Astyanax mexicanus: one gene and its partner. The protein of the gene in region 2 purifies or fractionates together with the protein of the main gene of each other region. This does not show direct contact. Links are inferred from orthologs where the notes say so. Each region holds a gene or a part of one and is shown on either strand. Other genes may lie near its edges.

The links.
Region 1: the proteins of transmembrane protease serine 6 (region 2) and hjv purify together in Homo sapiens (co-immunoprecipitation; 3 studies listed by IntAct). This does not show direct contact. The link is inferred for Astyanax mexicanus from reciprocal best matches to the Homo sapiens genes TMPRSS6 and HJV.

What each region holds. Positions count from the first base shown.
Region 1 is NC_064413.1:41,789,677-41,797,877, forward strand, and holds the start of hjv (hemojuvelin), read left to right. Parts: upstream 1-5,174; 5' UTR 5,175-5,397; coding exon 5,398-5,489; intron 5,490-8,201. UniProt on the Homo sapiens protein: Acts as a bone morphogenetic protein (BMP) coreceptor. Through enhancement of BMP signaling regulates hepcidin (HAMP) expression and regulates iron homeostasis.
Region 2 is NC_064412.1:32,159,634-32,167,295, reverse strand, and holds the start of transmembrane protease serine 6, read right to left. Parts: upstream 3,191-7,662; 5' UTR 2,781-3,190; coding exon 2,703-2,780; intron 1-2,702. UniProt on the Homo sapiens protein: Membrane-bound serine protease. Through the cleavage of cell surface hemojuvelin (HJV), a regulator of the expression of the iron absorption-regulating hormone hepicidin/HAMP, plays a role in iron homeostasis.

The DNA of each region.
Region 1 (8,201 bases), on a different chromosome or scaffold from region 2:
ATGGCGATATGGTCAAACTTTGTAGGTAGAGCTGGCAATATGGCAAAATATTATGTTACAATATTTAAAGATAATTTTATGGTACACGATATTTATCGTGTTTTGACATGCAGAAAACACTGAAATTTACCAGCAGTGACAGATTCTTAAAAACATATATTCAAATAATCTTTCATGCATAGTACAGTGATTTATTTCATTTTTGCTGCATGTTAAAAAATTAAACAAGATATTTTACACTATCTGTAGTAAAATGTACAGTTGTGCCAGTGTTCTTTATATGATATTCTTTATATTATATCCTTGATATGCTTACTGTTGAAACGGATCGTAGAAATTTATAAAAATATATATATTTTTAATAATATTAATAATATTATTACATACCACCTTCGCCCTATCTGACCTATTAATAATCTATCATACTGAAATCAGCCACAGGGAATGAAAGGATTTAGCTAGACTGGGATAAACATTGAGGCTACCTGCTGTCCAGTAGTGTTAGAGAGCACATGGTCAGGCTGCGTGGCTCCAGAAGAAGTTGTTAGGTCCTCGTGGTCTGGGAGGCCGGGACGAGTGCAATATTGGTGGGAGAATGGACAACAGTGCACCGCACCCCGTGCCTGCCAGGCCCCGGGACACACAGAGCACATGGGGCACATGAGGCAGTAACTGGGCACATGGGCAGATAGATGTGCAGTGTCCATCTGGAAGAAAAGAATCAGAACAATTAGAGTGGATAAAAAAAATATGTATTTATTTACTTACACTTAAAAAGTATCAAAACATTATTAAAGTGTTTTATGTACAGAATAATTTATCATTATTATTTTTATTTAACTGTGATGGATTAAGGCCTGCTTTTTAAGATTTTTTTTGGAGGGAACGCATGGTGGGCGGGGCATGGAAGTGGCCACGCCCCAGATAAAAAAAAAAAACATTTAAATATATAATTCTAAATCATTTTTAAATGTAGATGTGGAATAAAGACGTACATATAATCTTACTATAAAATAGACAAATTCGTTAGAATAAATAATAAAAATAAACAATATAATTCTATTAAAATTAGCTAGCGTTAGCGCGTACAGCACGTATTTCGGCGTGCCAACGTGCAGCGCAGTGTTTCCCGGACAACAGGTTGCCTAGAAACGTCGTAGCTGGCGAAGAGCCCGACCAAGCATTAGCATGGAAAAGTTAACTAGCCAACTTTCCCCCAAACAGGCTAAGCTAACGGCTTCTATACCTAACCAGCGCTCAGTTATACACCCACAACAACGCCGAATGTCTCAGACTCGAGCTAAAGCTAAAGAAAAACACAAAACAACGCTGAGACTCACCGACCAAAACACGCCAACACACGGAGAGGGAGAGGAACTGGCCACGGAGCTCCTGCTGCTGCTGCTGACCACCGCGCTCCTCCCTCAACTTCACAACTCAAACTGCTCCACACCAAACACAACGACACACGGCTAATAACCGCGTGTTTCTCAGCGCACAGCCGCTTCCACCTCCGCCATAGTCCGCTTGCACGCTTTTGGCACGCCTGCAACAACGAGGTTTCGGTTCTTGCCTTTCTTTCCCCCAAATCTCCCCGCACAATAGGAGTCCCGTCCCGCAGAGCCCCGCCCCCATCAGCGCAGTCAACAAAGAGTGCTCAGTGGAGCAGAGAGAGAGGAAGAGAGAGAGAGAGAGAGAGAAAGAGAGAGAAGTTGGGAGATAGAGAGGGGGACAGAAGTAGGGAGAGAGAGATGAAAAGAGAGAGGGTGAGGGAGAGAAAGGGAGGGTAGGGAGAGATGAAGAGAGAGAGGGTGAGGGAGACAGAAATAGGGAGAGAGGACAAGGGAGGGAGAGGGTGAGATAGGGAGGGAGAGGGTGAGGTAGGGAGGGAGAGGGTGAGGTAGGGAGGGAGAGGGTGAGGTAGGGAGGGAGAGAGAGAGAGCTGTAGAAGAGGAGGGGTGAACGGGAAAAAATAGCTATAATGTAGTGTACCAACAAAATAATTCATGAAGTGTGTCAAATAGTAGCACATCAGTGCTGAGTTCACATGGTTTTACTAATTGATGGATGGATGGATGGATGGATAGATGGAGTAGTGGGATCAAGTGAGTGAGTGGGTGGGGTGTATGTATGGATGGAGAGATAGATGGATGGTCAAATATGTCTGATTTAACACGGAGCAACAACAAATATGTCATTTGTTAATACCTATACTGATTATCTGGTTAAAGTAAACAGTGTAGTTCTTAGTTCAGTTGAAATCAGACTGCGGTTCAGTTTCAGTCTTGGTGTGATTCATTTGGACACCTTAATCTGACTCAAAGGTATACTAAAACAACTGCACCAAGACCACTGAGAGAAGATGGGGTCCATCAGATCTCAAACAAACTCAGGAGCAGTTTATACAATACCAGTCAAAAGTTTGGACACACCCCTTCTAATTAAATGATTTTCTTTCTTTATTTTCTACATTGCATTTCATATATACATATATAAAGTATTGAAGATAATTAAACTCTGAAGGAATACAATATGGTAGTATGTAGTAAACATAACATGGAATGGTCCTCTGACGTAAAGACGTTCTCAGAGATGCTGTGTACTTGTTGATTTTTTTTCCCTTCACACTGCATTCCAACTTCATCTAGATTTTGAACTAGGTTTAGGTTTAGGTGATTGTAGAGGCCATAAACCTTTTTTTTGTCTATCACATAATTCCATATGTGTTTCTTCATAGTTTTGATGTCTTTAGTAATAAACTACAGTGTAGAAAATAGAAAATTGATTAAAAAAAAACATTAAATGATAAGGTGTGTCCAAACGTGACTTGTATTATGGATGTATGGATGTATGGATGATATGCATGTTAATGTATTTTTGGATTATCAATGAAACTGAGCTAAAATAATATACAATATATTGACAAACCTCCATTTATAAAAAAAAAACAACACTAAAAAAGATTTTACTGTTATTTACAAATTTATATATTTAAAATAACTGATTTTTTTTGTTAATAACTGTTAAAATTCCATGTGTCCTGGATTGCCCATTTCATGTCTGTTTATATCTTGACCCAAATGAGTCCCACTCTCTTCCACCTGTGTACCACAGCAGCCTTAGGAACAAACTACGGAGGTTAGGGTTGGGTGCTGGTGTAGGTTTCTTAGGTTATGTTTAGGAGTAGGTTATGGATGTTAAATTTAGATTTAAATGGAAATCACAGAAATTAGGATTAATGTAGCTGTAAATTAAAGAGCTGTAGTTTGGTGTTAGATGTAGGTTACTGAGGTTTTAGTTTCAGGTTAGTGTTATAAGCATTTTTTATGAGCAGTTGTAGGGTAAAGGTTCAGTTGGAGTTATGCTATAGTTATATAGATTAGGCTAAGTTAGATTTAAATAAGGATAGGGTCGATTTAGCATTACTTTGTTACAACAATACAACAATAATAGGTGGTTCTCAGTAAAACAGACATTTGTGTAGGTGGAGGGCATTTGAGCTGTGTATGTGATGTAATTATCACTAACAGTAAGAGGCACTTTAAATCACTTTTTGCTAGATCTGATATTAGAATGTTCATGATAATGCAGTAAACACACTACAGGGCTGGATTTGTTCTGGTAAATAACTTTGGAGAGTCTGTGAATATTAAACAGATTTTCATGGATGTATGAATGTTAACTGTACTGCACAATACGTTCAGTTCAAAACACAAAGGTCATTATCAGAATACAGGGTCTCAAAACCTAAAAACAATGATTTAACTACTTACAATTATATACATATATTTATATTAAGGCTTTAGACTACACAAAAATATTTTTTCCACAGCTTAATCTCTTTTTATATTTATTTATATTTTAATTCTTGGCCTGGTTCTGTTTTAAAGATATGTTTTAATTTTCTAAAACAATTTTAATTACCATGATTTTACTACAATAAAATAAACAGCTAAAGCTTTATCTCAGCAAAGAGGTATAGAGACAATGTGATATAATATTAATATTATCAGTTGCTAAACATTATTCATGCATTCAGTCCCTTAAAAAAGAAACATTAAATTTATGAAAAACAATAGAACATTCCACTGGTTATTTTAATTACTTAATATTGCATATTAATATAATATTAATGATCTCAAAATAATGACTTAATATTGCAAAAGAAAGACCTGTTATCACAAATAAATGTTAGTATTTCAAAATAATGATTTTACATCTCAAGACATAATATCTGAAATTAATAACAATATCTCAGAATAAAGTCTTGCAAGATAACTATATAGCATTTAAAAATATTGCAAAAGAAAGACCTGGTATCACAAATGAATATTAGTATTTCAAAATAAAGATGATCATGAAAATAGCAACTTAGTATCTCAAAATAGTTAGATCACAAATAGCAGCTTTTATATCTGAAAATAATTAGATTGCATCTCAAAATAACAACTTAGTATCTCAAAATAATGACGTAATATTGCAAAAGAAAGACGTGCTATCACAAATGAATGTTAGATATACCATCAAAATAGCAACTTAGTATCTCAAAATAGCTAGATCACATCTCAAAATAACGACTCTCAAAGTAATGAGATAACATCTCAAAATGAATTAGTATTTCAAAATAAAGATAAAGCATCTCAAAATAGCAACTTAATATCTCAAAACAGATCACATCTCAAAATAACGACTTTGTATCTCAAAGTAATGAGATAAAATAAAGATATACTGTAGCATCTCAAAATAGCAACTAAGTATCTCCAAATAATTTGATTGCATCTTAAAATAATGACTTTGTATCTCAAAATAATGATTTAGTATCTCAAAATAATGAGATAGTATCTCAAAAGAGAAAAAAACTAATGGTGCTGGATTTGTTTTAATTAGTGGAAATGGGTTTCTATAGGTAAACACACACTTCTCACACTAAACTGAGACTTTTCTCAAGTGTAGGAAAACAGACACACGTGCTGCACAGACTGAGAATGGTAGCCTCGCTGCTGCTGCTGCGCGTGGAGCAGTCAGGTGAGTCTGAATACCTGTTTTATTCACCGAATCACTGCTTTAAGATAATACAGGTCATTAACAAACACTCAGCCCCCCTGTGAGTCGGGAGGGGGTCTGCAACAGCTCGAGCTGCTGCTGCTGCTCTGGTTAAAATAGCCCTCGCGAGCCCTGCTCTGCTCTGCTAGCTGTTCCTCTGCGCGCAGCTGTCGCGCGCGTGGCAGGTGCGCACTGCGCGTGAGGAAACCTCACACATACACACATACTTACAAACACTCATTCCCACACACACACTAACTCACACAGATACACACACACACTAGCACTGCTCTACTTACTCTCTCTCTCACACACACACACACACACACACACACATATACACACTCAGTTTGCATGCGTACAGGTGAAGAGCAGAACCAGTGCGTTGGTGGATATGAAGGGTTCCAAACTGGTGTAACGGAGCGAACAGTTCACCATTACCAGAGGTAAGTTCTGAACTGCTGATACTGGTGTAGTCAGTCTTCCATACTGGCGCGTGACTGCTGGAAACTGGGGCTTGTTTGGACCAGGTGCACTCTTAAAAATAAAAGTTCGACAAATGTCTATTTAGATTTTATATAGAAGACGCATAATTGCTTATATAAAGAAAAAAACATGTTTAAAATATGTTACAGACATTTGGATGTCTAAAAAACCTGTCTATCATAAATATTCCACACCATAAATGGCAGAAATGAGACTTTTAATATAGTTATTTAAAATTTGTAGGTGTAGTCATAAAAATAAAAATAAAAATAAAAATAAAAATCTATATTTTAAATATATACACAGCTCAGGCATAACATTTTGACCTCTTCCTTGTTTCTACACCTATAATTAATTTGTTCAACTCTTTGTAGTTCTATAAGAGTGTAAATTGTAGTTCTTATATTTCTACTTTCTACTTAATTGTCCTCCTTTTCATCCAGATCTTCAAATGGTCAGGACCACACAGAACCACCACAGACCAGCTATTTTTTGGGTGGTGGATCATTCTCAGCACTGACCTGGTAAAAGTGGGTTGTTCTGACATGAGTGGATCAGATACAGCAGTGCTGCTAAAGTTTTTAAACACCTCAGTGTCACTTCTGGACTGGGATAAGAATGAAGAACCTTTAGTAAAGAACATTTAAATCAATTAAAGATTCTTTAGAAATTTAAATAGAACAACAATGTCTGTAACAGTGATGTGTAAGTGTAAAGAACCTGTGTGTTTGGAAATAACTTTTACATCAAGCAAAAACCATTCATATTAGTTAACATTGGTAAAACATATCCTCTACATGAAGAGAAGGGTCTTTAGACCTTTAAAATGTTCCTTACACACACACACAGATCTACTACAGGTGTTTAATGGAGATGACAAATATCTCTGTGTCTGTTAGGACAGTGTGTATTTCTGTGCACTAATCTAAGATCAGACCTCATCTGCCAATGCTGTGATGTTGTGTGTTGTTTATAAAATTCAGCCTGAGCCAAGAACAGTATTTTTTATTGTATGAAGTTTGTATAAAAAGTGGTGTATAAAACAGGCCCAAAACCCTTAACATACCTTAAATGCGATGATAAAAAAATAGTAGACATACTCCCCTCATTTGAGATGACAGTGAGCTAGCTGTGGGCCCTAGTGGAACTGTGTTGATTTCTAATGTTAAGAAACCATTTATTTTCATCACATTATAATTTTAGCTTCAGCTGGATATCCATTATGGCATGCAAATATATACAGCAGGGGAGCTTCCAGATGTGCGTGTATGTGTGTTTTAACTTTGTAGGACAACCAGAGACAAAGAGGACCATACTATATCAGCACCAGCAAATTTAACTTAATTTTGGGATGTGCTGTTTACATAAAAAAGGTTTTATTTGTACATTTTAAAACAATTTATTTTTGTTTGATTTTAAAGATTGGGTGTAGGCATAAACAACAATATATACATTTCATATGGTGCCTGTAATAAACACAATATGTCAATTTTTTTGTGGGCATCCCTTCTAATGAATGCATTCTGCTATTTTAAGTTCCTCCCACTGTTGACACAGGTGGGCAAATGCTTACACATAACTTGCCTAGTAGATTGTAGAGTACCACAAATAGAATGGGACTCTCTGGAGCAGATGAACATAAACTTAATATTGGGTCTAGAGCAATTGTTATTGTTTGCAAAGAGCAATTGGGGCTACAACCTCAATTGTAGTCCTGCACAGACTCTGCCCTGCAAATTATTGTGGTTTCTCTGCTTTAACATGCCCACCGCCATTCTGAAAGCTTTTGTTCATTAACTTATTAGTTAGTTCAGGAGTGTTGGAAGAAGGGAAAGCAATAAAAGTCCAGGGCAGGGTGCCTGTGTTGAGAAACCCTGGGCTAATGGGGTATAAATCCCACTGACATTGAGATGTGGAACTGTGGATCTGTGTTCTCTGGAATGATGGAGCTCCATCCAATACTTTTGGGATGAGTTAGGGAGTTGTGGATGAGGAAGGGTGGTGATTATCCAACATCCTGGTCTACCTAACACTTTTTTGCCTAATGCAATCAAATTCGTACAGCAGTACTCTAGTACAATTGAGTAAAAAACCTTCTTAGACAATAGAGACAGTTACTCAAACAAAAGCAGTATAAACTATTGTATACGCTCACAATGAATATGCAGGGGGTTCAATACTTGTGTCAATAAACTATGTATCGTCACTGACACAAAACACAGGAGAAGAAAAACTTAAAAACAAAACTTACTTATCATAAGTAATTCTGGAGCTTTTCTATTTGTCCATTCATTGTGCAATTTGAAAACAATGTAAAGAACATCTGCTAGATTCACATTATGTTAAAAAATGTAAATGTGTGTGTTTCTGCTATATATGCTACATATGTTAAAATTTAGTTAGTTCTAATGGTTTCCGGAAGGGGTTAATTACAGTAATGTGTGAGTGCATGTGTGTGTGTGTGTGTGTACACCTGTGAATCAGACACTGCTGTGACTAGTAGGGGGAGAAACCCAGTGTTTGTCTGAGAGCATCTATTGTTTACTTTGTTGTTTCAACATCTCAGTGTCGTCTCTGTGTTCTGAAGCTAGCGGTGCTCCTCCCACAATGCTTAGAGTATCTACAGCTATTTTGTGAAAGTACATGCTCCAAAATACACAGCTAAAACATTC
Region 2 (7,662 bases):
TTAATGTTACTATATCACTATATGTTAATAAAAAAAATATTAATTTTATTTAGATTGTATTATCCATAACATTTTATTTTATTCATTATATAACATATGTTCTATATACACTATATATTATGTTGGCTATTATATAAAATTTACTGTAGGGGCCTACTAATTAACAAATGTATGACTTGTTGCAGTCTGTTAGTCTATTAATTATTCATTTTAATATGTTTAACAGAGTGCAAGAAGACTTCCATAATGTGACAACTTTAGATAGTTACTCCAAAACGGCAAAGCTCATTTCTTCTTCAACTCCATGCAGTTGAAAACGAATGGACATGGGAGGACAATGTTATAAAATGTTCACATTAGGGCTGCAGCTATTATTTTACAAAAATGGGTGACGTTTAAATTAAGAATAAAATTATAAATAATGCAAAAACAGACAGGTGCTGTAATTTAAATATAGCTTTATCTGTTTTTTTTTTTCTTCTTCAAATGAGCTCCTTAGCCAGAGAAACGCGTCTCATCAGCTGTACTGGAGGTTCGGTGCGTGAGCGGAAAATGAGTTGAGAAAGCTGAAGAGCGCGGACTTTATAGGTTCAGGATAAAATGAGCTTTTATCAGAAAAGTCTGGAGGGGGTTCTAAAGTAGAACCCGACAAAACAGAAAATTCTGCTCATCGTTTCATTTAATATCTAACAGCGCAAACCGCTTTAAACGGGTGAGTTTTACAGCAGAACAGCAGGAGGCGGCATGATTTAATGTCTGTTTGTAGTGAAGGAAAAAGAGATGTTTTATTTTAACTCCATTATTTTAGAAACTATTTGTTTTATTAATTCGTTTACAATAAAGCTTATTTATATATAAGGAGAAGTACAGTCCTCTAATAATCCTGACTAACCAGTAATTATTATTTCAGCGCAGCTGATGCTGCGAATATCCTTAAACAGTTTTAGTCCTGCCCTTTTTCATTTCGTCTAAAAATAATTTAAATACTGAAAATATCAAGTGTTAATTTGATTTTATTTACTTAGATTTTCGTTTCTGAAGAAGAGACGTCAGTTATTTTATACTAGAGCTTATAGATAGGGCTTGCCTTGCATAGTCAGGGCGCATTCCATCAACGCTAAGCATAGTTTCGTTTGGAGAGAAATGCTACAACACCGATGCAGTTGAAATTCTATTCTTTTTCAGTAAATGAAGCAACATCACAGATTACTAATCATGAGAGAAAATATAGACTTTGGGACACTGGATTGTAAAAATGGATGCCTTACCCGTTGAAAGTCTTGCTCACTCTTGAAACCTTGCGCTGCGTTCCAAGTAGCTGCCCGCAGATGTGCCGGATTAAAATCGGCGCGGCCAAATAAGAAAATCGGCTGATGCCGATTGATAAAAAAATAACAAAAATCGGCCGATTAAATCGGCTGGCCGATCGATCGGTCGGCCTCTAATACCAACGCAAAGTAGCAGCCTACTGCAAAACTATGAAGTAGAACAAAAATGATACACTGGTTTTCAAAAAATGTAATTAAATAAAAATTTGACAAGTGTGATGTGCAAAAGTATTCAGAACCCCCAAAATAAAATCAAATGCAATCAATTGCATTCAGAACAGTTCACAGTCTCAGTATAAATACACCTGTTCTGTAAAGGCCTCAGTGGTTTGATAGAGAACATTAGTTGTCAGATAAAACTAAATTTTAACTTTTTTATGGGGTGCTTTGATCACATCATCCCTATTGTTAAACAAAACATGAAAATTGCTGTTCACAGACTCTCCATCCAACCTGGCCGAGCTTGAGCTATTTTGCAAAAAAGAATGGGTAAAAATCTCAGTCTCTAGACGCGCAAAAGACGTGCAGCTGTAGTTGCAGTGAAAGGTGGCTCTACTAAGTATTGATATGGAGAGCTATATACTTTTGCATGTCTCAAATTTTTATTTGAATTAATTTTTTTACATTTTTGTTGGACTTTCACTTCAATCTCAATAAAATATATTTAGGTTTGTGGTTTGATAATGATAATAATTATGATATTTTGCAACATGAATTATATAAAACCACAAACTGATAATAATCTGAATAATTTTAGGTTAATTTATGTTACATACTTTGTAATGAATAATAGTCAGTGACAGATATTGTAATAAATATATAAAAAAGTTTTCTACCATCATATATAGCAATACTCAATTATTGTGCAACCATAAGAAAACATTGCTTTTTAGTGCTCTGATGATGTTAACAAAAAAACACAAGAAATTTCGCTAGCCCTTGGTAGCCTTTAGCCTCAAGCTAGCTAGGTGAGATGTTTGGTACAAACTAGCTAAGCTAGCTAGTTAATTCTCTAGCAACAAGCTAATATGCTAACCATGATAAAATATGACATGCTGTATTGTTTTAATGTTACACTTTAGAAACTGGGGGGAAGTGGGTTTGGTTTATTTTCACTTAAATATTTAAGAGAAATCTCATAACTTAGCTAAAACTATTTTAGCTTAGCTACATTTAGCCAGCCAGCTAGCTAGGTTAACTAACACTAGCTATCTTGTTAGCTATCTCTGCTGGTGTAGTGATATAAGCTAACACTACAATCGTATAATAACACTAATAATTGTATAAACACTCTTCATTTTAAATTAAAATCTAAAAATGAATAATAACATATTGCTCCTGATAACCTGTAGGTTAGCTAATAAAGGTAAATACCTGATTTGGAAAGCGTACACTTGCTGTGTCCACAGTGTAGACTGGTTCAAGCTCCTGAGCGCCATTCCTGAGCTCCATGACTCCAGACTCATCAACTCATCTCCATTAAAAATATCCTCAGTCCACTCCGGGAGTCATGAAATTACCTAGACCTATTCAGTCTTCAAAATCTGTAATCCTTTGGGGCGAACTGTGTCCTGACATGTTAGCAAACCTTACAGCCTCTGAAAAACAGAAGCGCAGCCTCAAAATCCAGCATGTTTACAGATCCAAAGGGCAGCTTAGATCAATATTCTGCCTTTCTTCTTCATCAACAGCCTGGCAGCTGCTTCCACAACCGAGCTTCGCTAATAGCGGATTTAACAGCATCAGAGCGGATTTGGAGGTACTGAGCAGCAGGTAGGTGATTTTATTTGTTTGGTCCAATGTTGAGAAAAGGTGCTGGAGGATGTGTGAGACACAAGAGTGAACACCTAGCAACACTGAGGTGTAGGACTGCACACTTAGCAGGTAGTGGTCCACAGGGACTGGATTAAAATAGCCTATTAGTCTGCCAGTGTGTTTCACACCACAAATTGGCTTATTCTGTTGTCTTAGTGGCCATAACCATGAATTACAGTTTATTTACAGTTTATTTTAATAATCGACAAAGTAATTGGGGTTTTCAGCAAACACCAAAAACAAATTACAGTAGTTTTGGCTATTTAAAAATGAGTACTTTGGTTTAAAAGGGTAGATTATCATAAAGTTCAGAAGTAGAACCAAACAGAATCATCCTCAAACAACATTTATTAAAAATATTAATTGAAAAGACAGAAAACTGCTATTTTAGCATTTTAACAGACACAAATTGAAGAGCAGTTCTAGCTAACTTGATTGACTTTGCTATTTTGTGACAAAAATGGTGACCAAAAAATAAATAAATAAATAAAACTATGCAATATATAACCTGTAGCCTTTATGGTTATATAGATTTTATTTGGATGGTACATTATCGGTGCCTCATAGATACTCAACTAACATTCAACTCAATCTAATAAATGTAACTGAATTTTTAGATGAGTGTAAATTATTCTTTGCAGAAACTAACCCAACACCAACCCAAACCCTAACCTCTACTATGACTCAATTCAAAACCCTGACCCCTAACCGTAATCTAAACTTTAAATCTAACCCTAGACATAATCCTAAAATGTTAAGACTAGAGTTAAGGTTAGGGTTAGTAGGTTTACATTCAACAGAGAATCATTTACTTTCACTTTAAACTTTAGTATTTATGAGGCATTTATAATAGACCATCCAAATAATGTTATACCACCCTTCTTAATAGTAAGTCAATTTTATATTATAGTGAAAATCTTGTAAATAAACTGTCGATTGGGGATGCGCCCTGAATCGTGGAAATGTGTTCAGTAAAGATAGCTCCATCTTGGAAAGCTAATAAAATCGTCACATTTTATTTTGACTTATGCTTAATGCACCTTCACTCCGCGCCCATGTTGAAACGAAACCGTTTCTAAACCAGAAAGGCAGCAAGGGAGCCGACAGAATGTCCACCAGTCTAAATGGCACCGCATGTGTGGACAACTAACCTCGCATACCTCCCTGAATTAACGGTGAAAAGAGTAAAAAAAATTGGCAGAAAATAAGTGCATTTTCCTGGCTATTTTACTAAAAGGCTACAACTATTATTGCGGAAGGTACCGTAGCAAGGTAATTGCCTTTGTTTGTTTTATTAAAAACTTGCGTGTTAGCTAGCTTGCTATCTAGTTACTAAATTAGTGACTAGAAAACTACTTTGTAGTTTATACAACTACAGTCCTGCTTACAGGCTTCACTGAACAATCTGTCCTGAAAAATAACATATGGGCACAGCATCCTTCTTCAACTTTCACATGCCAACCAGTGTCTTAAAGAAACACAATTTTGGAAAGTGTTTTAAACTTACATTTGTGTCCACTTTAATATGTAATATTAAATCAAACATGAAAATAACTAGTTTTGGAATTAAACCGAGAAAATAACCAGTTCAGGGGTAATCAAACAATAGCCGGAGAACCGGGTTTAGCTAGTTGCTGTCTCTCTGCTAACATTCATCTGGCTAAATTGGCTGACTGGGTAACATTAATATGGCTAGGCTTAGCTAGCTAGCTAGCTCAGTAACATACATCTTAAATTGAAATGATAATCTCTACTGATTTTGTGAATCCTTCACCGTGAAGTTCGGTATCTTTGGGGAAACTGTGGAAAGTTTGACCTTTCATAGGATTTCTTTCTTTTTGAAGAATTTGGGAACGCAGCAATGAGGCGGCATTGCTAGTACCCAGCGGTCCAACGCTACTTCCGTCCCCCACAGCCTCGTTTTGGTAGGAGATGTAGGTGAATAGAGCATATAAATGAGCTTAAATCACACTCTTGACATTCACTATTATTCTAAAAAGCAATTTTACCACAGCTGACCAGCATCATGAGGAGATGATTTAGGTCCATTAGAAAAAGGCCAGATAAAAAATCAATTTTGCAAAAAAAAAATTATTGAGAAGGGTGACAATATTTTATTCAAGCACTGATTGCATAAACAAACTTATAATCATTCTTATTAGTTTGAGTTTGAGTCTCAGTCTATTGGTTGAGAACTGCAAATGCACACAGACAGGATTTAGTACAGAAATTCTCTTGTTCTATAACAGTCTTTCTCTCCCTCTCTCTAGCTCTCTCTCTCTCTCTTGCTCTTTGTTTGCTTGCCTTGTTTCTTTTCTAAGTTTTTTCACTGTTTGACTTAATGTTTGACTTAGCTCTTGCTATTCCCTTACTTTTTTTTCTCACTCTCACTTCTGTGTTTTGTTTCACACTCCCACTTTTTCTCTCCCAGTAGCAGACTCACAATTTAAAGGGCAGAGGCAAACAAAAAATTGTTTATAACAGTACTGTTTTCCATTGGTAGGGCTAAAGGGCAGGCACCCTTTGATGGGCACATATTAATATTCATCATTTGTTGCGAAAGAGCACACTGTGTCTGCCCAAAATGCCTATCCAACAAGGCCAATAGGGCACTTTGACTCTTTTTCCCACTCTAGAGGGCACTATGGTGATGCGTTTTCAATCATGAGGGCACTGAACATCATTCTTTGTTTCATCTTTTTACTCTGTTTCTCTCTCTTATGCTGTTTCTCTTACACACATGTTTCACTTTTTCACTCTGCTTTTCACTCTGTTTTGGTTCTCTATCAGTATTTTACATGAAATCTCACATGGGTCCCTTCTAGGCCTCTCTAGGTCCCATCACTGACCCTGATAATGCACATCACTGACACATATTTGTAGAACATGTAAACAATTTTTTTGGTTCTCAATTGTGCAACACACAGATAGATTTTTTGGTACCCCATACAGGCCCCACATTGGCATACAACCCCTGGCAAAAAGTATGGAATCACCAGTCTTGGATGAGCACTCCTTCAGACATTTCATTCTGTAAAACAAACTCTGATCAAAAACATGATACAATAATAAGGTCATTCCAAAGTGCAACTTGTTGGCTTTCAGGAACACTCAAAGAAATGAAGAAAAAACATTGTGGAAGTCAGTGAATGTTACTTTTATTGACCAACCACAGGGAAAAAAATATGGAATCACTCAATTCTGAGGAAAAAAGTATGGAATCACTCAAATTGAAGGTAGAAAATAAGGACACACCCAGTCAATTTCCTTTCCCTAAATGGACACCTGCCTCAGATTAGATCTGCTCGTTAGTCTGCAGTTAAAAACACCTGCAGTCATGACACCTTGGAGGGCTGCTGGACGAATTAGAGTGGCAAGAACCATGGCTCCAACAAGAGAAATGTCTCTTGAAACAAAAGAGAGGATTGTGAAACTTCTTGAAGAAGGCAACTCTTCACGCATGGTTGCTAAAGATGTGGGCTGTTCACAGTCAGCTGTATCCAAGATATGGACCAAATACAAACAGCATGGAATGGTTGTTAAAGCCAAGCGTACTGGTAGACCGAGAAAGACATCAAAGCGTCAAGACAAGCAACTTAAGGCCATTTGTCTTGAAAACCGAAAAAGTACAACTAAACAGATGAAGCATAAATGGGAAGAAGCTGGAGCCAATGTATGTGACCGAACCGTAAGAAATCGCCTAAAGGAAATGGGATTTCAATACAGGAAAGCTAAAAGAAAACCATCATTGACACCTAAACATAAAAGAACAAGACTGCAGTGGGCTAAGGAGAGGCAATCATGGACTGTGGATGACTGGATGAAAGTTATCTTCAGTGATGAGTCAAGAATCTGCATTGGACAAGGTGATGATGCTGGAACTTTTGTTTGGTGCCGTTCCAGTGAGATTTATGAAGAGGCCTGCCTGAAGAAAACAACCAAATTTCCACAGTCCTTGATGATATGGGGCTGCATGTCAGGCAAAGGCACTGGGGAGATGACTGTGGTTAATTCTTCTATCAATGCACAAGTTTACATTGACATTTTGGACAGTTTTCTCATCCCTTCAATTGAACAGATGTTTGGAGATAATGAAATAATTTTCCAAGATGACAATGCATCGTGCCATAGGGCAAAAACAGTGAAGGCATTCCTTGGAGAAAGACACATTCAGTCGATGTCATGGCCTGCAAATAGTCCAGATCTCAACCCAATTGAAAACCTGTGGTGGAAATTGAAAAAAATGGTCCACAAGAAGGCTCCGACCTGCAAAGCTGATCTGGCAACTGCTATCAAAGAGAGTTGGCACCAAATTGATGCAGAATACTGTTTGTCACTCATCAAGTCCATGCCTCAGAGACTGAAAGCCGTTATAAAAGCCAAAGGTGGTGCAACTAAATACTGGTGATGTATTTTGAATCATCTTTTGTTTATCTGTTTTTCATGATTCCATACTTTTTTCCTCAGAATTGAGTGATTCCATATTTTTTTCCCTGTGGTTGGTCAATAAAAGTAACAT